4 linked regions of the Drosophila melanogaster genome follow. The gene in region 4 interacts genetically with the main gene of each other region. Each region holds a gene or a part of one and is shown on either strand. Other genes may lie near its edges. The genes, in order: twin, l(3)mbt, bam and nanos.

Region 1 (4,978 bases), 5.1 Mb from region 4:
CCGAATTCTGATAGCGAAGGGCTCGAGATTTGTCAGCCAACTTGAAAGCAGGCTGACTGCTCATCGGCTGGTAGCCACTCCAGTTGTTGGTCACAGGATGATGGTGATGTAGTGGCTGGTGGTGCTGCATCTGCTGTTGCTGGAGATGGTGCTTGCCATTCTGCTGGAGCAGCGGCATGCCCTGGGCATGCACAGCCAGCTGGGACATAGTGGCCCCTCCAGGTGGCCAAGTTGGACATGTTTTAAGGGCGGATTTCCTCAGCAATCTCTGTCGCTGGGCTGGCGACAAGTGACTGGAGGCATTCGAGATGAGCGGTATGCCGGCGCACTCATTGATCCGCTGCTGATTAACCACTCCATAGCCAACTGGTTGAGGTGGTTGGCCAGCCGACTGAGCTGCCCAATTGGGCGGTGGTGCAGACGGCGGACCATGATGCAACCTGTACACAGGAGCTGGATGCTGGCTACCCGGCCAATGGCTCAACGGATGCTGGTGGTATCGCAAGGACGCGTAGTTGGGCGGCGGTGGTGGTGGTGCTGCTGATTCTGGCGCCCTGTAAACGGCCACATGCGATCTCATACTGTTTTTGTCTTAGTCCCAAACTGAATCCTGTCGGCGGATCGAGTCGATTGCACATCACTTGGCCGCTTGGTTAGATTATTCGACTTGAGCGAGCCACCTTTCAGAGAGGCATTTCGGTTGGCCAACAGTCGAGCGATTCCACCGCAACGAAATGAAAAGCGAACGCCAAGAAACTGGGACACAACGCGATCGCAATTACGAAACACACGGCGCATGCGCGACGCTCGCGAACGGGTTTCCAGCTGAAGAGAGACTGAGGAGCAGAGTGGAGCTAGTGCGTCCGCCTCGTAGCCAAGCGAGCGGCAGACTGAAGTCAGCTGCTAACGCGATCGACAGCGAAGCCCGGCTAACAGTAAAAGCCGTTAAGACAAGTCTCTCTCTCTCTCTTTCTCTTTCTCTCTCTGTCTCTTACGTTCCACATTGGGTCCACACGAACACTCTGACGCTCAGCCACCGGCTCTCTTTTTTGGGCCAACTTGCATCGGAGAGCAGCATCTCTTGGCTTTTGCATGTCGAGGTCGTGCAGTTCTTTTGGCCAAGTCCGCCAATTGTTGTAATTGTTGCATTCAATTAGACATTTTTAATTGATGCGCGGGCATTATGTTTTTTGGCATTAATGGGCAGCCGTGAGTTTGAACTTTAATTATGGCTTTGGCAACAGGTTTTATGACCTATCCTGGTGCGGAAAAACATTAGCTAACAAACTGCGTTTGAAAATGGACGAATAAATATATATTTCTGCTGTTACAACCCTACTATATATAAATACATCGAAATCGTTTTTGATCCCCAAAAACAAAATTTTCCAACATGCCCTAAACTTCCTAATAAATATATATTTTGAGCAGTTACATAAAGAATTTTTGCTGATAACACATGGAAAGATTATCTCCTACTTTAAGCTTCCTTTTTTTTATCAATAAAATCCCATCAAGCCCAGTAAGATAGTTAAAATACCCTTGAGTCCGTAGTTTCTTCGAAAACTTTCTCTTTTCGGAAGCCTTTTTTCGCGTGCTTTCCTTTTTACCCCAAACATGCACACACGCAGCCAGACACACACCTGGTCAGGAGCTGCTCACGCACCGGGCGCGCGCACACACATACTCAGGGATTTAGATAGACATGGGGGGGACTCACATGACAAGTTGTCCAGCATGTAGGTGAGCAGTTTCTGCGTGCCGTTCGGTTCGTTGTAGATGTTCATGAACTCCTTTTGCAGCGGATTGCCCATGAGGCCGAGTATGACGAGGTGGAACAGCTTGCCGATCTCGTAAGGCAGTACGCGCAGAAAGTTGTTGTTCAGCAACAGCTCCCTAAAAGGAGGCAAGACAATGGAGTGGCTTAGTGAAAAGCATGGATCAGTGATCAATAGGGTCTGCGCCCAGACAGCGATTTCACAATAGATCAACTGCTAAGGGTGCAATAGAGTATGAGACATAATAATAGGACTAAAATACGATTTAACAACGTAAATCATGTCCTATGCCAACCCACAAACTCACCGCAACTGGATGAGCTCGCCGAGCTCTGCGGGAAGACTTCTTAGCTTATTGCTGGACAGGTCCAAAGTTCGGAGGCTGGTCAGCATGCCAACGTCTGCGGGCAATCGCAGCAGCTGGTTGTCGTTCAGGTAGAGGGCGGTTAGATGCTCAAATTCCCACAGCGACGGGCTGATATTGCGGACGCAGCCTGTAAACAGATGTATGGTAGAATTAATATGATATTTTTCGGGATTAAGTGTGTGATACCCACCAGTAATCTCTAGGCCACTCCAGTTCGTCTTCTTGCCCGCAGCTATGTCCTCCTGCGACAGAAAGATCTGCTGCCGCCGATTGGCGCTGTCGTATTTGTCTTTGTTACGAGACATTTTATAATGATTGCCTGTTCGGTATATATAGAAGAGAGTTATATTAATATATGTATAAGGTAAGAGATAACAAGTTAAAATCTGGAATTGTTTCAAGGAAGTTAGGGCTCATGTTAGGAGACAAAACCTCGCTTAGCAACAAAAATGAATGCTTTGAGTTTTAGCTTAAATGTATCTAGGAGTATTGGAATCAAATCATAACCTTTCATAATAACCGCCTGATGATAAGCGTCTCTGCAAAATATTAATAAAGTGGTTTCCATTATTATTTTGTATTAGTAAACAAAGGTGGGTCTGAGGTCCGGGTTTGGTTTACATATACAGCTAAGGTAAAACTAATAGCAGTTCTTAAACATTATTAATTAAAATTTAAGTACAAGGTAAAAGGTCGATATGGAAAATACCGCCAAACTCAATAGTTGGAGGATTTTAGGAAAAATCTTTATATTTTATTAATAAATAGCATTGGATATGTATTTTGGAACGTTGTCTATGCACCTTTTTTTAAAGATACACATATTAGGCTTTAAAGAACTGCTATTGGCTTTCGCACAGCTGCGGATGGTAAATTGTAAATCATAAATAAATGCAAACGAAAATGATTTTGGTAAGCGCGCGCAAAGTGCAAGCACCAACACACACGCACACACACGGACGCGTAGCACACACAGAAACACTATACAGTTAGAAAGAAGAATGGCGTGGGCGGGCAAAACAAGAAGAAGAAGGAAAGCCGTATGTCGCATATTGAAAATCGTGGGTATCAGGAACCTGTGTAGGATTACCTGGCTCAGTTCACTATTCCTAGGAAGTCACCTCAATCGGAAATTCTGGCTCAAATTTACTCGCCGTCTCTCCTCGTTTCGCGCGCTCTTTTCGCTCTCCGCCTGCACTTACTCGAGGATTTTGAAAGAAAAAGGAAGCCGCAGCTGGGGATTCAGCAATATTCGATATTCACTGTGAAATTTAACCGACTTCTACCGTTTTTGGTGCCTTTATTTGGGTCCTATATTTGTTATTTTATTATTTTGCTGCTTTTCGTTCGTGTTTGTCGGAACAGAAGCGACGATTCTGCTAATCAACCTATTCGTTTTGGATCGCTCTTTCTTCTGCTGGGCCTCTGCTTTTCATTTATTTATCACGCGACTCGCTTTCATCGTCGGTTCTTGTTTTTGTATACATGGTGAGCAGTCGGAGTTGCCACTCGGTTTTATCAGCGGACGGTATCACGGCAAGATTTGTCCAAAATGCGTGCTTATTCGTCCAACTGAAGTCCGGCCTAGTGTTCTGATAAAGTGTGAGACAACGTTTGTTTGTAAAAAGAACTACTCAAATGGGATTTCAGTCAAAACAAAACAAGAGCACATCACACACAAGACGCACACATACACACAAGACGCACACGCACACAGATGGTCAAAGAGGTGCAGGGCTGAAAATAAAAACACGTAGATATTTCGTACTGTTTGCTTTACTAGCCACTTTTTTCGGTCAATGCTTTTTGCTGAGGACTCGGCTTTCGACGCGATATATTTTATGTAGTTTAGATCTCTGGATGGACGATTTATTTGTGAATTTATGCTGCTGCTACTATGTGTAAACTTTCGTTCTTCGCTTTCCTTCGTTTTCCATTTCTCTTTTGTGCGCTGGTTTGGCGTACGCGGAAATGCCCACTTGCTGTTAATCGGCTATCGGAAAGAATTTGCAAGCAGGGGCTCCAACTAGCGTATTGAGAAAGTAGCTATATTTTGTATGACAGTTAAGACCCCTGTTTTTTGAATTGATATTTTTTATAGGATTGAAATCAGGAGCTTTGAATTATTAATTTGTAAAATAAAATGAGTTTATTTTGACAGCAAACGAAAATACTTAGCTAGAATCGAGCTAAACCATTAAAATCTGTAAATACTGACTAATCGATAACCTTACAGAGTTTCGATAGATCCATTAGCCGCGAATGCCCTTAAAAAGTTGTAATTTATTTAATTTAATGTTGCGTGTTTTTAAAAAAAGGTTAATATGTCGGGGACGCAAATGTCTGCCTTCCTGAGAAAGTATCTAGCCGACGAGGACAAAAAAATTCGTGCGCAATTCAAAGAAAGCGATCCTAACAACAAATTGATTCTATGGATGCACGAAAAAACGGTAAGACGCATTTCATTTTGTAAATTGAAATTGTATATTGTATAGTATCCTGTATTTGAAGAGAATAACCGAGGAGGACTTGGCACGCCCATACACCGAGGACGAGGTAAAGGAGCTTTGTCTACGCACCAAAGTGAAGGTTGATATGACCGCTTGGAATTGTCTGTGGGAAGCCAAAAAGAGGTTTGAAGCAAAAGGACGTTTTGTGAACAAGTCTGAGAGATTCATCAACCGAATGTATATGAAAGCGGTGCGCAGAAAGATGGTCCAACCGTATCCGGAGGAGTTTGTGGCCCAGCGAAGAGAAATAGTTGCAGCCGAGACTAAGAAGCAGAACATCAGCCGATTGGATAGATGGCAAAAGAAAAAGAGTCAAAACCTAT
Region 2 (7,981 bases), 8.1 Mb from region 4:
TCTTTCGCTTGGCTTGCACCACTTCCGCGACCTTCGGGTAGACAATCTCTTGTTGGGAGTCCTCCTTAATGGCTTGCTTGGCCTCCGAACAGGCACGCTTTGTTTTCTTCGCCCATCCACGTCTGATATTCTCGGGGGCCACACGCGGCGGTTTCACCGTTTTGGAGCGCCACTGACGCCAATTTTCCGGCGCATACGGACAGCATTCCCGCAAAGCATGCACGTTGAGGTTGAAGCGCTTGGCGTTGCCAAATCCCCGACATCCCTCCACATCGCAAGGCATCACGGACTTGGGCTGAAGATAGCCAGGCGGGGTTTCCAGTTCGTGCGAGGTGGCCTCGCACCAGCCGATGGGGTGCAGATCGGGACTGTCGTCCTCCAGCCAGAAGTAGTACTCCGTGGGCCAGCAGTCCAGGTGCAGCTGAACCCGGTAACCCTTCCGCGTCACCACGGTGGCCGGACGAATTAGGCAGGGATTACGCTGGTCCACCACCTCCAGTTTCATGCGTTCCTGGTACTCCATTGGCTGGCGTGGTGTGAACAGCTCCTTGGAGGCGGCCATTCCACCAACCTCTGATATGTAGTCATCCCAAATGAAGGCAGACTTCTGGTAGTCCGGCGGAACGATCAACTGCTGGCGTCCCTCGTGCCAACCGCAGGGATGGATGTACGGTGAGGTGATGTGTACCCACAGGTCGTAGCAGTCATCCCAGCCGTCGAAGTGGACTCGAATGCGCTCGTCCAGAATATCCGTCACTGTGGCCACACAAATCTTTCCCGTATCGTTCAGGTCCTCCGCCTCGAGATGCATGCCCACAGCGAAGCCGTTGCGCACATCCATCTGCTGCTGCATATTCAGATGACCAAAGAGCGCCCGCGGAGCTGCCTTGCCGCCCGTTTTCACCAAATAGCGGCTCCAACTGAAGCGCTCCGAGTTGTAGTCCTTAGGCGCCTGCAGAACGCGTGCTGTCTCATCGCACCAGCCTGGCGGAAAGATGTCCTGCGAGTCGGCGTTCACCCAGAAGTCGTACATGGAGGAGTAGCCATCGAAGCTAAGCTTCAGCCGATAGCCGCGCACCTCGACAATGCTGCAGACACAGAAGAGCGAGCAGTTCTCCGGATCGATGGCCTCTAGCTTCATGCCGATCTCGAAGCAGTTGGGACTGATGGGGAACGGATTGAGGAACAGGTGGATGGGCGCTGCCACATCCTTTCCCTTTGACTTGAGGTACTCGCTCCAGCGGAATGGCTTTCTGGGCTTATCCTTTTGACGTTGCTGCAGCTGTTCCTGTATGGCAGACAGAGATTTGTGTGGTTTGTAGTTGGTTTGCCGCTTTTGTGGCAAATCTGGCGCTGTTCCAGCTGTTTGCTCTAGTTGGGTACGGCTTATCTTGCTCTCCTTCTGCGTACTCTGCGGCAGACGACGCTTCTGGGATCGACGCACACAGCCAACGGAGCAGAAATCTGTAGGAGAAAATAATATATAATATATATAGAGTTTGGGGACTTTGGTAGCTGCTCTCTTTACTCACGTGGTGCCAGAAAGTCGGCGGCGGGTCCGTGGAAATTGCAACGCTGGCACAAGTACAGCAGCGGATGGACGCAGGCCGAGGGCCTGCGGCCCGGACGATCATACAAAGGCCGCTCGAAATATGCAGCTGGACCCTGGCGTGGCTGGCAGCGTTCGTTTATCTGCAGAAAATTGAACTCATTCAGCTCGAACCGGACGGTGGAGTTCTGCAGGTTGGCCGGCTGCTGGCCGCGCCATTTCAACATGTTCAGGTTCTGCATCATGCTCTTTTTAAAGTCATTGGTCTTGCTGCTAGGAGATGGGTTCGCATCATGGTCGTTGGCTTTCTTGGCATTCTTTGCAGGTGGACTTGATGGCTTCGGATCGGCGAGTTTGGGCGGCGGCGACATTTCCGATGCGTGAGAGCCGCTCGAGGATGAGGAGGATGACTTGGGCGGAGTTTGGGGCACCTGCTCATCGCAACGCAACGAGCGTTCAAAGTCCTCCCTGCTCAGTGGCAGAGATTCCGCCTTGATGATGCTTATGCCAGGCAGCATACTGAGTTCCTTCTCGGTTTTCTTGGTCGGTACCACCTCCACATCGCTGTAGGACGAACTGTCGCTGGAACTAGAAGAGATTGTCGTCACGGAGGAGTTCTTTCTCACGGCCTTTTTCTTGGCCGTACTGGTGGTGGAAATGGTTATTCCTGCGGGCAGAATGGGCATGGGGATCTGCTTCTTCTTCGGCGCCTCCTGCTTTTCCGGCTTCTGATTCTGCTTCGGCGTCTTCTTAATTTCCGGCTTCTGCTGCTCTTCCTCGCTCTCATCATCGTCTTCAATGGTGATGGTCTCGATTGCCGCACTGGGCTGCTCGATCACATCCACCTCCTTGGCCATAATGGCCACCGAGTGACGTCGCTCGTTGTTGGCCACAGGCGAAGCGGGATGGTTGGACACGAAGGATTTCGACCGCTTTAGTTTGGGCAATTCCTTGGGCCCACATGGCGTATGTTGAGCGATTTCCTTGACCACCGGTGGTTTGTCCATTGTCTTCTGTTTCTGCTCCTTGGCAGGCGCCTTTTTCTCCTTGGCTGGTCCATTTACGGACATCTCCAGAGGTTTAGGAGTTGGTTTGGGTGCTGTCTTGATTGAGGGCTTTGCAGTGGGCTTAACGTCGACCTTCTCTGGAGATGTAACAACTGGCGCCACTGCCGGCACAATGGGCGCTTCCTGGCTGGGCAGCGGCACTGCCTTGATGGCCACGGGCTTGGACTTAATTAGGCTCATTTTGTTGTTATCGGCGGTCGGCACCTCCGTGGCAATGGGCATAGCCGTTTTGGGTGCCACAACTGGCTTCAGTTGGCTGGCACTAGTATTCTGTTTGTTGTTTTTCTGGGTGCTCCTGGTCTTATCCTCTCCACTGGGGTTCGGCGATGTCAGAAGTTTCTTCACATGATTGGCCTTGCCGAGAACGAGTGCATTTGGGTTGCTCTTGACCTGGCTGAACTTTAGACGCAGCTTATCCACCGCCACCTTGCTGAGTATGAGTGGAGCACGTGGCTTGAGGGGATTGGCCAGCAGGGATACCTGCGCACCCGGACCCGTGCTGGGAATCTGGACAGGTGTCGCTGTACGGTTGCATCCAAATGGAGAGCAGAAATAAAGAAAGATAGAGAAACACGAATTAGCTTTGAATTTTCTTTAATTAGTCACCCGAAGGCAATCCGATTGGATCCTCCATTGAACCCGAACCCGAACCCGATCCCCGCACCGCCGCACCCTCACCGCACCGATCGACTGCGCTCTGACAGTGCTGATCCAAAATCTTCTCCTCTTATTGCAGCTGCAAAAACCTGATCGTCATCATCAGTGTCGCTTTGCTGGTGCTGTTGTTGTTGTTGTTGTTCTCGCTGGCACCCCGCCTTTTGCATACTGCTATTGATAAAACCAGCATATATACATCATATATATTGGAAATAGCAATAAGTTCTTCGTGTTGCTTCTCCAATTCGTACCGACCCAGTCATGGAACATGGCACCCACCCAATTCGATGCTTGGAACTTATTTTCCGAAAATGGCACACGAACACAAACCCTATTAAATTGGTGTTATGAAATGTGCAGCCGTCGAACAACAACTAAAAACTAAACCCGCAGACTGATGTGAACAACGAAAGTAAACTATAAAGATTGCCCCGCACCCCACACGCACACTCACACACACACTCGCGCACACACACACACACACGCACACTTTTGCAAGAGTGTTTCCCATTTTCCGACTGGCCTCGGATCTGGGGGATCTGTTCTTCCTCTTCCTCTCAGACTGGGGAAACCCACTTGTAACTCATAACTTACATAACTCGGAAGAAGGGGAAACCGAAACCCTACACTTACCCGCTTGTATTTTCGGTGGAACGACCGTTTTGCCCACGAGCGTTAAAGGTGCTCCTCCAGTTCCGCCTCCAACGGCGGCTGCTGCAGCCGATCCTCCTGGCTGGATGGGCTTGTTGCTGGTCTCAACGGTCAGGCTGTTCTTGTGCAAAGGTGTTCCGGAGCGTATGACCACCGGTTGGCCATTGGATGCACCTCCGCCAAGCAGCGTGGTCTTGCGATTGGGGGCCAGAATGGCCACCAACGGTTGGCTGGGATTACTGGGCGATGGCACCAGCTGGAACAGGGGAGCATCTGCTGATCCGACAGTGGCGCCAGCTCCAGCGGACTTTATGGAATTTGGCACTATGTTGACCGACTTTAGTTTGGATTTCATTGGCTGGACATTGCTGATGGTGATGTTGCAGGTCTTGTTGCCGCCCATGGGCGCCAGGGGCAGGAAGCGTAGCTCCTCCTTGCGCGGAGCTAGTGTGAGGAGGCTGTTGGGATTTGGATTTCCGCCGGAGGCAGAGGCAACACCATTGCAATTCGCGGTAGATGGTGAGATGACTCCTCCATTCGCTGGCGACATGGACAATGATATATTGCGCTGGAGCTGCTTGGCCTCCGCACTGGCCATCGACAATGGCAGCATTTTGAGCCGTTTATGCTTAGAGCTATGGATTTTTGATTTCTTTTTTAACCAGCGGAAATCGAAGTTATATTCTTGTCTTTACAATGTTTGTACGTTGAGGCGCACAAAAGTTTTTGGCATTTTACACTCCACACCGGCGTTAGTATTTTTTTGTATTCCCCCTTTTCACAAAACTATTTGGCAATTTGTTATGTTCTCGATCGCGCGATTTGTGCTTTATATCCGTATATTCATCAATCACTTTTCTCTTAATCAAAATCGCAGAAATTGTTAAGTTTTTGAATTAAAGTTATTGTTTCGCGCGTTTCCTTGCTCTCATTGTTCGTGTTTCTCGGTTCTGATAATATACCAACATTTGGTATTTAAATGCACAGATTGCGAATTAGTTTTAAATATTTACGGTTACTTTGGGTTTGTTATTACCTGAAAAAGGTTAAGTTGGATTTAGTTTTGGATGCTATATAAGGATTTTAAAGCTGCAAAAGCATGGTAATCAGAAAATAGCTAGCAGGTAGCAGTTGCTTTGCAACTTGTATGCATATTCGCTGTTAATAGCCAATCGCCATCTGTCCCAATAAAAAGGGAAATATCTAGCAGCTTAAAGTCATTAGTTACAATACCTGTGTTATCCTACCTTAATATTTCTGTTTATTGCGCTTGCTTTTTTTTTTTTTTTGTTTTTACAATTTACCCGCGGCCATTGGGCAAAACCTCGTTGCCCCAGTACGGCCACACTGCACGTATATTGAATTTTGATACCATTTTTAGTTATGCTGCCCAAAGATTTATGTTATCTCAAAAACGACTAGAACCTAAAAATAGCTCCTCTGGGCTTTGAATCCCATCTCACGACCACATTTACGAGCCCTTGATGGCTAAACCGATCCGATCTCCCAGCCCCATGTTACGTAGCAGCCCACCCAATGTCACAATAACTGAAACCTCTTATCTTGGTTCGGATGAACCACTGGCCAGGGAATTTGGTCTAGGGCCCATGGAATGCGTCTTCATTTTTCACTTTCAGAGAGTCTACAGGTTCCGCTGCCAGGATCCAACTGTTGACTTACCCGCACGCGATTCGTTTTTGCCCGCGGAGCGAAATGAAATGTACAGCCGCGGAGGAGGCGGAAACCAGGATATCGGGATGCTGTTGGCTTGCCGAACACGGCTGGAATGATAGAAGTTCAGAAAGTCAGGTCGCGAGTGTCGAAAGGTGGGCCAGGATATGTAGGCTTACCTGCTTTAACCGTATGATTCGATTGAACTGCAGTTTGTTGCTGCGAGGGTGTTACTGCTCGTTCGACCTCGTAAATGCAGGCAAAAACGAATGGCCAGCGAAATCGGGCGGAAAATCTTAACAATTTAAGCACATTTTTCACCAGGTAAGCCAACTAAAGCAGCTCGAAACATTACGCAGTGCCATCGAAACGGAAGCGTTCTGTCGTTCAACAATATTAAAAACTGCAAAAGCATGTGTGTATTTTAATTTCTATGATCGAACGGCTCAGGTGGCAACTCTGGTTGCCGATTCGTGTGCGCCCGATGTCGGTTATTTTGAAAAGGCGGAAATAAAATGGTAAATAAACGAAGCCTTTCTTGTTTGGTGTTAACTGTTTTGGAAATACGCTACTTAGCAGCCTTAAATGCTTAAATTAATATCAAGCGATGGCTTTACATGTACCTGATATTGTAAAATAAGTGCAGAGGAAAATTTCGCAATATCCAACAGAGCTTTTTACCTTCTCGGAACAATTTTAACGAAAAGAGTTTGTCCTCTGAATAGTTGTATATATTTAAAACCGCACATTAACTTAGCAACTTTATCAATATTTAATTGCTTCAAAGATTACAAAATACAGCTTCTTCTTCTTCTCCTTAAACTTCTGTTAGTACTGGAAAACGCCGCTCATACTAAACAACGGCAGCGCCAGCAGCTAGTGTTGGCCAACTTCCCAAAGGGTAGTTTTATTTTCGTGTCAATTGTTAAGAGAAATTTGGCAAAAGTGAATAGAGTTTAAGTTTTATAGAATAAAGAGTACCCCTGAACACTGCCAGCCATGTCCCTGTTAAACAATGACGACAGCATTCCCAACATGGACGAGGATCCACAGGGTAAGTGAAAACTGGAGGGAGTGGGTGGAGTCCCGAGTGATGATGTTATCAATTGCTAATCCCCCCCAAAAACGCAGTGGTCATTCCGGACGACGAGCCACCGGCGACGGGACGAATGCCCAGTGGGAGGTCCATGGACTCGTTGCGTTCATCGTTCACCAACCGCAGTTCCACGCCAGATTCATCGCACAATTCGCTGGAGGCCATGGAAATGGCCCAGGACGATCGGGAGGAGAAGGCCCGCCTCATCACACAGGTCCTGGAGCTGCAGAACACCCTGGACGACCTGTCGCAACGCGTCGATTCCGTCAAGGAGGAAAATCTGAAGCTGCGCTCCGAGAACCAGGTGCTCGGCCAGTACATCGAGAACCTGATGTCGGCCTCATCGGTGTTCCAGTCCACCAGTCCCAGTGCGGCCAAAAAGAAGTAATCTTCTATAGTCAATCGACCCACCGGTACTGGAAACCAAAAACCTTCTCAAATATGCCTTCTCGTTCACGCTAGAGCTACATGTATATTTTAATCTGTAACACTCGAAATTAAGCTATTGCAATGTTATTTCAGTTGCCCGATTGTCGAATTTGTATTTGTTTAGGCTTAAGCTTATGGCGCGCTATGTATTTTATACATAGAAGTAATTAATTTATATAGATAATTAATAAATCAATAATACCCCACGCAATTTAAGAATTTGAAAAGGAAAACGGGATGGCAGCACTGCCAATCCAGCTGCTTTTAGAGGTCGCTTTACTAAATAGCCATGATCGAATTGCAAAACTTACAACAGAGTGACATTTTTAATTAAATAATAAAATGTATTTATTTGTATAAATCTTAGCAATTATTAGAAAAACACCTGCTCACATTTTATTTGAAAATTTTGAACTGCCTACCTACACAACGGCCTGGCAACTTTGGTCGGCCAGCTGTTCGTCGTGGTCGTGCAACAACAAATTGAGCAGTGACTTTTCGTATTCGAATAACGTAGAAAGCGTGTATAAGTCGTAGTCTCTGCTCGGAACATTTTAAAACCAGTCCAAAACTATAGGAAAAACAAGAAAAGTGATCGTGCTTACACCAGAACAGTTGAACGTGCAACAAAAGTGATTGCGAAATACACTGCAAGGTGTGTGTGTGTGACTTGGTGCTCTAGCTGTGTGTGTGTGGGGAAAAACAAAACATTTGCGCTGTGGTTTTTGCTTTTAACAATGTTTGTTTGAGTAGGAAATTCCAATTTTAGTGGCCATTAATGGAACGCAAACATTTAGTTGGCCTTCCTTTGTATTTGCAGTTTCTATTTTGTATCTTCCCCTCCCGCTCGCAATTGTGGAT
Region 3 (4,117 bases), 6.1 Mb from region 4:
TTCACAAGGGATCTCAGCCGCTCCATCGAGCTGGTCATGGAAGTTCCAGAAATAGGAGTCAGAGGACCCTACTCGGTGGACGGAAGAATACTCATTCTGCCCATCACCGGAAATGGCATTGCTGACATACGCCTCAGTAAGATTTGCCTCCCACAGCTTTGAAATCTAAAATTTTTAATGTGTTTCTGGAATTCGCAGCTAGAACAAAGGTACGTGCACAGATCAAATTGAAGCGCGTCTCCAAGGGCGATCATCAAACCTACGCCGAGGTGATGAACATAAAGGTTGAGCTGGATCCATCCCATGTGACCTACCAGCTGGAAAATCTGTTCAACGGCCAGAAAGATCTCAGCGAGAACATGCACGCGCTTATCAATGAGAACTGGAAGGACATCTTCAATGAACTGAAACCGGGCATTGGCGAGGCCTTCGGACTGATAGCCAAGTCGGTGGTGGACAGGATCTTTGGCAAACTGCCGCTCGAACAGCTCTTTGTAGTCTAAGACCTTAGTACAAACACCCTAATTAGTCCAAACACAAATCGTAAATATTTATTTGACTTTCAAAATACAAATGCAAAGCAAATAAGAAAAACTGGTAAGTTCCTCATACAAATAAAACGTAGTTGCAAAATAAATTCAGGCACTAAAGGATTTCTTATTTCTAAAGTTTAAGTAAAATACAGATTTATAAAAGTGAAAAGCAAACACATTTGTAGTTTTGCCAAATAAATGTAAACACAGTTAAACTTATATAAATTTGTTATCAATCTCAAAACAGGGGTAATAAATCGTTTTCATTTTGATTTTGTTTGTATCGATTTGATAAATATTTTTAAAAAGCTTATATAAGCTTATTCACGAATACAAATATGGAGTCCGCACTATTGGACAAATATATCTTACACTATAGATATGTTTACTTTACGAAATTATTGCTTCCCATGAGAAGAGTAGCTTTTTTAAATTGCATATTTGCTGTCATTCTTTTATCGATGTGCACAGCATTAGTTTAGCTTCTGAAGCGAGGTACACGTCCGGTGTGACGAGGTGGCGATGATGGCACTTCCTCGGTCTCCTCAAACTCCTCCTCCGACGCTGACGGCTGCTCCATGCTCACTGCGCCAAGCTTCTGTGGCCCGCAAATGGCGACAACACTGGGCGGGAAATAGGTCTCTGGATTGGCGATCAGAGCGGAGAGGAACTCATGCTGCTCCAGAACGCAATAGATCGGACCTCCCAGTTTGTATCTCTGGGCGATGAACAGATCCTCCGCACTGATTCCACGCGCTTCGGCCGCCCTTAGCTCGGCACCGGACAAAAGGATGGCCCGCTCGTTCAACGACTTGTGGCTTTCGGTCATGGCCCCGGAGTAGCGGTGCTCCAGATCCATTTCCCAGTTAAATACGTGCACACTGAGATGCGCAGCCTTGATCCAATCGCGCAGACCAATTAGCAATCTCTCCATGCGCTGAGTATGGACTGTAAATAATAAAATCGTTGCAGGAATAGCTGAATGGTTGCTTGCAAATCTACAGCTTACACTTGTCCGCATTGCTCCCCGAGTTTCCGTTTCGATTGCGCATTTTGGGCTTTAAAAGCAGTTTGAAGTTGTCCAAATAGGATGCGAAACCCTTAAGCAACTTGTCACACTCGTCGTATTTCTCGAAATCGAAGTGGCGATTCGCCTCCAAGGTGCGGCGCTGCTGGACAAGGAAGCGCTCTACTTTGGTGCACAGCACCTGCAGTTGGTAGCGCACATTCAAGCTCTTAGGCATCGTGCTCTTCACCGGCATATCGAACAGATAGTCCGAGGGCATTGAGTTTTGGCGCGAGAAGCCCAAATCGGCGGTCAGGTGATCATGCAGGGATCTGAACAGATTCATCAAACGCAGCACGGCGTTGTGCTCTAAGCTATTGTTTAGATAAGGAGCTTTTTATTATGTGATATATTTGGGATATACTCCAGAAGACTCACCAATCGCCGTGCAGACCAATCATATGCAGTTTCTCAATAGTTATGGGCAGTTTCTCAATATTATCCGCGGACGCAGAGCCTTTACTCTTCCGGTTCCACACATTTTCCTTCTGCAGTTGCTTCTGCTTTGGCCCGGTGACCAACACGCCTCCGGATCGCGACTTCTTGGCCGGAGAACCGTCGAATGCAAAATGGCGCGAGCGCTTTTGAATCTGTTGCAAGCAATCCAAACCGTGGAATTCGAGGAGTGGTGCAGTAACGTCACACAACCGGAGTCTACCGAAGTTCTCCTGGATTTCGGATAAAACGCCCGATGTGCAGGTTGCACCATCTTCGTTCGTATCCTCGTACTCACAAGTGGCTTTCCTCGGATCTTCGTTTTCATTGCCTTCCACCATTAAGGCCAAATGCTCCTCCATCTGCTTAAAATTGTGGTCCAACTGCTGGTCGTCGTTGCCCTCAGGACACACGTCACGTGCATTAAGCATTATTCTTAAGTTAAATCACACAAATCACTCGATTTTTGCCTTTTAAATCTTTCCTTATCGCCAGGTTCTTTTTACCGTTTGAAATGCCTGACGCCACGCTGTCTGCGAATTCAGGAGAAAGAGGAAGAATGATGGCGTCCAGACTCTTTGTTGTTAACGTATCGATATCATGTCGAGTCCCAGAACAGGGTTGCCGTCGCACAAATAAGTTTCAATTTATGGTCACCTCAAAAGGTCATTGACCCGGGCGCATTTAAAGAAATTTGAAATGCGATTCAATAATCCATTACGAACTTTACATTTTAACTACAATTATACACACTGATTTGGTCGATCACAACCAAATCAAATTGCTGATTAATTATAAAACAACATGCAACAATTTAGGCCACCTATATTTTAATTATCTAGTGGTTTTGTATAAAGCAAGCCAAAGCATTATTTAACAATTTGGGATTTATCACATTTTGTATAAATTATCATATATCGTGACAATAATAATGAAGTAGCAATAACCCATTTTCATATTCAATTTGTTTTTGTAATTCTGACGACGATAAGCTTCTAAAATTGCGCGCAAATTTAGAATAATGTATGGCATCCCCACTTCCTAACATCTGGCAGCTCCGTTAATATGACAAGCTTAGCTTAGACACAAACCAGTATACATTTTACATTTGTTGGTTCGAATACTGACTAGTTAAACAACGTGACTATTTTCATTTTTTTAATTATAAATATTTAAATAAATAAATAAATTCCGCTTCCCAACTTCTATAAAACTATACACATTTGATTCAATTTTTTCCAGACTGACGCAGCAAAATTTTGGCGCTCATCCAAATAAAAATAAGACAAACAAGCTAAGTATATGCGATCCGAATAACCAACCATTCTAAAGATTTTTTGAGTCGGTTACAAAATTCTTGAAAAAATGCTGAATGCCCAATCATTAGAAGCCTCACAAAATCTCGATTTAGAGCCTATGAAACATTCTTTATTGTTGTGAAGTTAATCAATGGTTAGATCTAAGCATAACTAGTGAAAAATTCCTGAAGTTTTGCCGCACAAGGGTATTTGCACACACAAGAGCTTCCATTATGGGCGGTTTCTTATCGGGGAACCCCAGCGATTGAGCTCCACTATCTATCCTGTTGGCAATTATCCACTTTCTATAAACAAATACGACAAGAACTGTTTTTTTTTTCACTTAGCCGACCACAACATCGTTAATTCTTTAATTCACAAAGCACAATGAACCAAAGGACCGCAGCAATTGAATTACAAGCTTTCTCTCGTATGGGTTCTGTGGTTTCTTTACGTTTTAGAGTTTTTATTAAAAAATTAATAATTTGTGGTTCATCGCGAGTCCCATTTTACTGTGGCTTCCTGCGGAAGGAGCAGCCTGAAAGAAAGACATCGTTTGGGTTAATTGCGAAGGAACATTGGACAGTGAGCATTTGGAGCATACCTTCTGTCAGCTTGGCGCGTCCTCCAGTCGGCTGGCACAAAATGGTAGCGCATCCAGCGCAGACCACGACGCCTTGGGCGTGGCTGAAGACGGTGGTGATCCTGTAGCAGCCGGGGCACTTCACGTCCATGAAGTACGAGTTGGGGTGCTGGACCAGGCGCTTCAGCTTGTGCTTGCGCTT
Region 4 (5,243 bases):
CACCAATCCTTCAGAATCTCCAGATCCCCACGGACAATCGATTCCAGAATATTTGGAATGATGTCCGTTTCGCAATCGCGGAGGAAATCCTTCTGATCAAAGCTCGGATCGATTTTCACCAGCTCCGTCATCGTTTCCGAAAGCTCTGTCTTTGAAAAGAGTCCACCCATGACGTCGGACACTTTATCGGTCAGCAGGCGGGAGGCACGAATAACAGGGTTCTCGGACTCGTCGTATTTAACCTTCCAGTCAAGCACCTTGTTCACGTAGGTATTGTTGTTCTTGAAGTTCTCCCACGACTCGTAGAACTTGGAGTCCTTGTGCAGCTCCATACCTGAAAAGTAACATTACATTATGGCCATGACCTTTGATCTTATTGAAGGAAAAAGATGGAGACTCACCAGTGGCTTCCGTGTTGGGCTCCACAACGCGATCACTATCGCTCATGACGAGCTGGACGCGCTTTCGCAACTTGGCAGGAGCACGATAGACACGATTCTCTATGCTCGCGCTGTCCATCTCCTTCTTGATGGTCGTCGTCGTGTTAGAGATAGCCTGGAATGCGCTGGTCTGGCCCAGCTTGCCACTGGTGTCGGAGATCGTGTCGCTGACCCCCCTAGCCTTCTTCGAGAGCTCCTCGGTAACCTTTTTGGCCAGGTGGGATTTGCTGGCGTCCTCCAGAACATCGCCTACGCGCTCCTTGATGGCGCCCAGCTGCTCCTTTAGCATGCTAGACGACTTTTGCGCCTCCGATTCGACAATGTTAAACTTTTGCCGCGCCGATTTCAGGGCATCCGATTCTTCCAGCTTCTGGGCCTCCTCACGGAACTTTCGGATATTGTCCTTGATCTCCTTGTTCTTATCCATCTCCGCCTTCATGTTGTCGAAGAACTGCGAGAAGAAGCCGGCCCTGCGACCTGGCGCACTATAAAAGCGGGGCTGCGGAGTAAAGTCATGACTTAGGCCGGTTGCGCCATGGGGTTTTATGAGCCAAACTCTAACCTGCTGCTGCTGCAGGTTCTGCGAGGCCTGCTGGCACGTGAAGAGACAGGCGCGATCCCGCACAAGGGCAGCTATTCTGTACTGCAAGGAGAAAAAATCATTGAAAGCTTCGACCGTTTTAACCTCGAAATATGCACATGTAAGGACGGATGTGAGCGAACGCCAGTGATGACCGGGATCAGAGGTAACCTACCATGGTGGGGATTAGGTGACCGTTCGCAGGTAGTTTGATCGGAGCGAATGTTCGGGGGGTCTGGCGTCAGAGGCTCTAAACTTTATGTAATTCCTGCCGCGAAACACGCACGTATCAAGCAGTCAGCTGTTCTCTTCGTTCAGCGCGCGCCGGTGTTGCAAAACGAGCGCTCTTCGCCGGCGGTGGCTCGTGCGATAGTTCGTTTTGTCGGTAATCCGATGTTGCCGCGCCGATATCATGTGATGTTGTCACAGTGCGCGAAATTCGAATGGTGGTGTGCAGTGATTGTGTTGTGACGGCGAGTGGCGCGTGTGGGTGCTTAGTTTTGGGAGATGTTTTCGTATTTTTTTGTTGATAACTCAGGCTTTGTTGCTGTGTTGTAGTACTATTTTCCATTGCGCGGTGTCCAGCTTTTAATTAGTGGCACATATTCTTAGCAAGTAAAAATTATTTTGCATACTATTAAATTTCTTATAAATTATTTTCTAAAATTAAGTTTACCTTTTCAATTTTACTAAAAATATCGATATATTTATTATCGCTGGAAAACTACATTATTCCACCTCTAAGCAAGAACCGTTAGTTGGCGCGTAGCTTTACCACAAAATTCCTGGAATTGCCGTACGCTTCGCAGTTGTTTCAAGTTGTCTAAGGGACATACGATTTTTTTTGCCTCTGCGTCACGATTTTAACCCAAAAGCGAGTTTAGTTACATGTACATTATTATTAGATAAAGAAGTATCGCGAATACTTCAGTTGAATAAACTGTGCTTGGTTTTTGGGTGAGGATTTGTGGAAAGTAGAGTGCGCGATAACCGTAACTTTCGACCCGGATTTTCGCCATGTTCCGCAGCAACTTGGAGGGCAGTGGCGCAGCAGCAGTAGGTGTTGCAAATCCCCCCTCGTTGGCTCAGTCTGGAAAGATTTTCCAATTGCAGGATAACTTTTCTGCTTTTCACGCCAGAGGAGGGCTCAACATTCTGGGCCTGCAGGACATGTATTTGGATACCAGTGGGGCCAACTCGTCGGCCACTTTGAGTCCGCCCATTACGCCGGTGACCCCTGACCCGTCGACGTCTGCGCAGTCGACGCACTTCCCTTTTCTGGCCGACAGCGCAGCCACCGCCAATTCGCTCCTTATGCAGCGACAGTACCACTACCACTTGCTGCTCCAGCAGCAGCAGCAACTGGCCATGGCGCAGCACCAATTGGCGCTGGCTGCATCAGCGGCAGCGGCTAGTGCGAGTCACCAGCAAACGGACGAGATTGCGCGATCCTTGAAAATCTTTGCGCAGGTGACGACGGGCGCAGCAGGTAAGAAGAAATGGCGAATATGGCGTCGTTTAAAACAGAATAGCCAAAAACAGTGCGCGGGAGCGAGATGACTATCTGTACAAGTACAGTTATGCCAAAGTCAATGGCCATGGGCTTAGTTAAAGGGGCAACGAAAGCACAGAGCAAAACAGAAGTAAAATTGTGTAAATGTATAATTGCTGCAGAGGTCAGAGGATTTTCGCCATTTAGTGTAGTATATTTTTTATTTTACTATTTTGTATGTGCTTTAAAATATATCTTTGCCCAACACTTGTATCCCCTTCAAGAGGTTTTTCGAGCGCCCCTGAATTTTCGGCCATTGACCTTAGCATTTTCGCTATTCCTTTTTGTTTTAACTTCGGAAAGCCATTTTGCGTCTTACATTTTCTAGAAGTTCTTTGCTTTTTCTCGTCTGTTCTTGTTTTTTTTTTGTATGCAAAAACTAATCCGTATTTGCTTATTACATTTCTGAAATGCAATTGAAACGCGAATAATAAAAAAAATACGTTCAGGACAAGGTAATGAAAAGCTTGCTATTCCCAGAAAATGCGGCTGGCTCGATGCAGGATGTGATGCAGGAGTTCGCGACCAATGGCTATGCCAGCGATGATCTCGGTCGCATGTCCTACGGGAGTGCTCCGCCACAGGTGCAAATGCCACCGCAGCAGCAGCATCAGCAACAGCAGGGGCTGCACCTGCCACTGGGCCGCAATCCTGCCCAGCTGCAGACCAATGGCGGCAACTTAATGCCCATTCCACTCGCCACCCACTGGCTGAACAACTACCGGGAGCATCTGAACAACGTGTGGCGAAACATGTCGTATATACCAGCCGCTCCCAATACAATGGGTTTGCAGGCCCAAACAGCGGCCACTGTGTCCACCAATCTCGGCGTGGGAATGGGTCTGGGATTGCCCGTGCAGGGCGAACAGCTGCGCGGAGCTTCCAATTCCAGTAACAATAATAACAACAACAACAAGGTGTACAAGCGTTACAACAGCAAGGCCAAAGAGGTGAGTGGATCTGATCCAGGATTCGCAGAATTAAAACTTGCAAAATATATTTGTTATCTTGTTTCTCCAACAGATCAGCCGCCACTGCGTCTTTTGTGAGAATAACAACGAACCAGAGGCGGTTATCAATAGCCACTCAGTGCGAGATAACTTTAACCGAGTGCTGTGCCCCAAACTACGCACCTACGTGTGCCCCATCTGCGGGGCATCTGGGGACTCGGCGCACACGATTAAGTACTGCCCCAAGAAGCCGATCATCACCATGGAGGATGCGATCAAGGCGGAATCGTTCCGCCTAGCCAAGAGCAGTTACTACAAGCAACAGATGAAGGTTTAGAGAGGGCGAATCCAGCTCTGGAGCAGAGGCTCTGGCAGCTTTTGCAGCGTTTATATAACATGAAATATATATACGCATTCCGATCAAAGCTGGGTTAACCAGATAGATAGATAGTAACGTTTAAATAGCGCCTGGCGCGTTCGATTTTAAAGAGATTTAGAGCGTTATCCCGTGCCTATAGATCTTATAGTATAGACAACGAACGATCACTCAAATCCAAGTCAATAATTCAAGAATTTATGTCTGTTTCTGTGAAAGGGAAACTAATTTTGTTAAAGAAGACTTACAATATCGTAATACTTGTTCAATCGTCGTGGCCGATAGAAATATCTTACAATCCGAAAGTTGATGAATGGAATTGGTCTGCAACTGGTCGCCTTCATTTCGTAAAATGTTCGCTTGCGGCCGAAAAATTTCGATATATCTACAATTGATCTACAATCTTTACTAAATTTTGAAAAAGGAACACTTTGAATTTCGAACTGTCAATCGTATCATTAGAATTTAATCTAAATTTAAATCTTGCTAAAGGAAATAGCAAGGAACACTTTCGTCGTCGGCTACGCATTCATTGTAAAATTTTAAATTTTGACATTCCGCACTTTTTGATAGATAAGCGAAGAGTATTTTTATTACATGTATCGCAAGTATTCATTTCAACACACATATCTATATATATATATATATATATATATATATATATATATATATATGTTATATATTTATTCAATTTTGTTTACCATTGATCAATTTTTCACACATGAAACAACCGCCAGCATTATATAATTTTTTTATTTTTTTAAAAAATGTGTACACATATTCTGAAAATGAAAAATTCAATGGCTCGAGTGCCAAATAAAGAAATGGTTACAATTTAAGGAAACAAATGTCCTTCTTGCGTTTGAAACAACTAATCCTTTTCGCCCTCGCGGCGTTTCTCGAAAAGGGCCAGGAAGATGCCATCGGTAAGATCACTGTCCGGCTGGCAATACAGGACGTTCTTGCCAATATTGGGATAGTCCTTGTCGCCCACATTGTGCCACTTGTTGCGCAAGGCCTTCTTGCAGCTGAGCAGCTTGAAGGATGGATTTAGCTGAAGACAACGCTGCACCACCTGCTCGTTTTCCTCCTTCCACAGCGAACACGTGCAGTAGGCAATGCGTTTGACGTTCGGAAAGGCGCCCATCGCGTGCGACAGGATCTTAATTTGCAAACCCTGCAGCTTTTGCAGCCGCTTGTCCTCCTTCGGCTCGTCGCACACGGTCATGCGGTTTTGCATTCCGCTGCCAGAGCAACTAGGGTCCACCAGGATGTACTCTACGTCCGGAAAGCGTTCGGGTGCTGAAATTCAAACGTGTTACTTTTTTAAATATTCATTGTGAAA

What was found.
Region 1: of nanos (region 4) and twin, changing one enhances a phenotype caused by changing the other (phenotypic enhancement), as found in Drosophila melanogaster (one study listed by BioGRID).
Region 2: of nanos (region 4) and l(3)mbt, changing one suppresses a phenotype caused by changing the other (phenotypic suppression), as found in Drosophila melanogaster (2 studies listed by BioGRID).
Region 3: of nanos (region 4) and bam, changing one suppresses a phenotype caused by changing the other (phenotypic suppression), as found in Drosophila melanogaster (one study listed by BioGRID).

Annotation. Positions count from the first base shown.
Region 1 is NT_033777.3:24,217,880-24,222,857, forward strand, and holds the start of twin (twin), read right to left. Parts: upstream 3,006-4,978; 5' UTR 2,969-3,005; coding exon 2,949-2,968; intron 2,685-2,948; coding exon 2,653-2,684; intron 2,465-2,652; coding exon 2,336-2,464; intron 2,273-2,335; coding exon 2,086-2,272; intron 1,897-2,085; coding exon 1,721-1,896; intron 840-1,720; exon of another isoform or gene 581-839; coding exon of another isoform or gene 1-580. Other genes in the region: CG17786 (uncharacterized protein), read right to left, coding at 1-580; cav (caravaggio), read left to right, coding at 4,029-4,046, 4,464-4,595, 4,657-4,978.
Region 2 is NT_033777.3:27,267,237-27,275,217, forward strand, and holds the start of l(3)mbt (lethal (3) malignant brain tumor), read right to left. Parts: upstream 6,038-7,981; 5' UTR 5,775-6,037; intron 5,706-5,774; 5' UTR 5,605-5,705; intron 4,961-5,604; 5' UTR 4,538-4,960; coding exon 3,907-4,537; intron 3,138-3,906; coding exon 1,533-3,137; intron 1,465-1,532; coding exon 1-1,464. Other genes in the region: CG5934 (uncharacterized protein), read left to right, coding at 6,595-6,649, 6,727-7,079.
Region 3 is NT_033777.3:25,242,512-25,246,628, forward strand, and holds bam (bag of marbles), read right to left. Parts: upstream 2,599-4,117; 5' UTR 2,466-2,598; coding exon 1,978-2,465; intron 1,914-1,977; coding exon 1,543-1,913; intron 1,482-1,542; coding exon 1,012-1,481; 3' UTR 528-1,011; downstream 1-527. Other genes in the region: CG11854 (uncharacterized protein), read left to right, coding at 1-136, 199-503; RpS27 (ribosomal protein S27), read right to left, coding at 3,842-3,870, 3,937-4,117. UniProt on the Drosophila melanogaster protein: Regulatory component of a deubiquitinase complex consisting of bam and otu. The complex deubiquitinates K63-linked polyubiquitinated proteins, antagonizing the ubiquitination activity of Traf6 and regulating the IMD immune signaling pathway.
Region 4 is NT_033777.3:19,155,464-19,160,706, forward strand, and holds nanos (nanos), read left to right. Parts: upstream 1-1,774; 5' UTR 1,775-2,037; coding exon 2,038-2,509; intron 2,510-3,052; coding exon 3,053-3,522; intron 3,523-3,595; coding exon 3,596-3,859; 3' UTR 3,860-4,146; coding exon of another isoform or gene 4,147-4,242; 3' UTR 4,243-4,739; downstream 4,740-5,243. Other genes in the region: CG11779 (uncharacterized protein), read right to left, coding at 1-334, 402-939, 1,003-1,083, 4,147-4,242; Nsun5 (Nop2/Sun-like domain containing protein 5), read right to left, coding at 4,770-5,200. UniProt on the Drosophila melanogaster protein: Maternal RNA-binding protein that is required for germ cells proliferation and self-renewal. Acts by forming a complex with pum and brat that regulates translation and mRNA stability.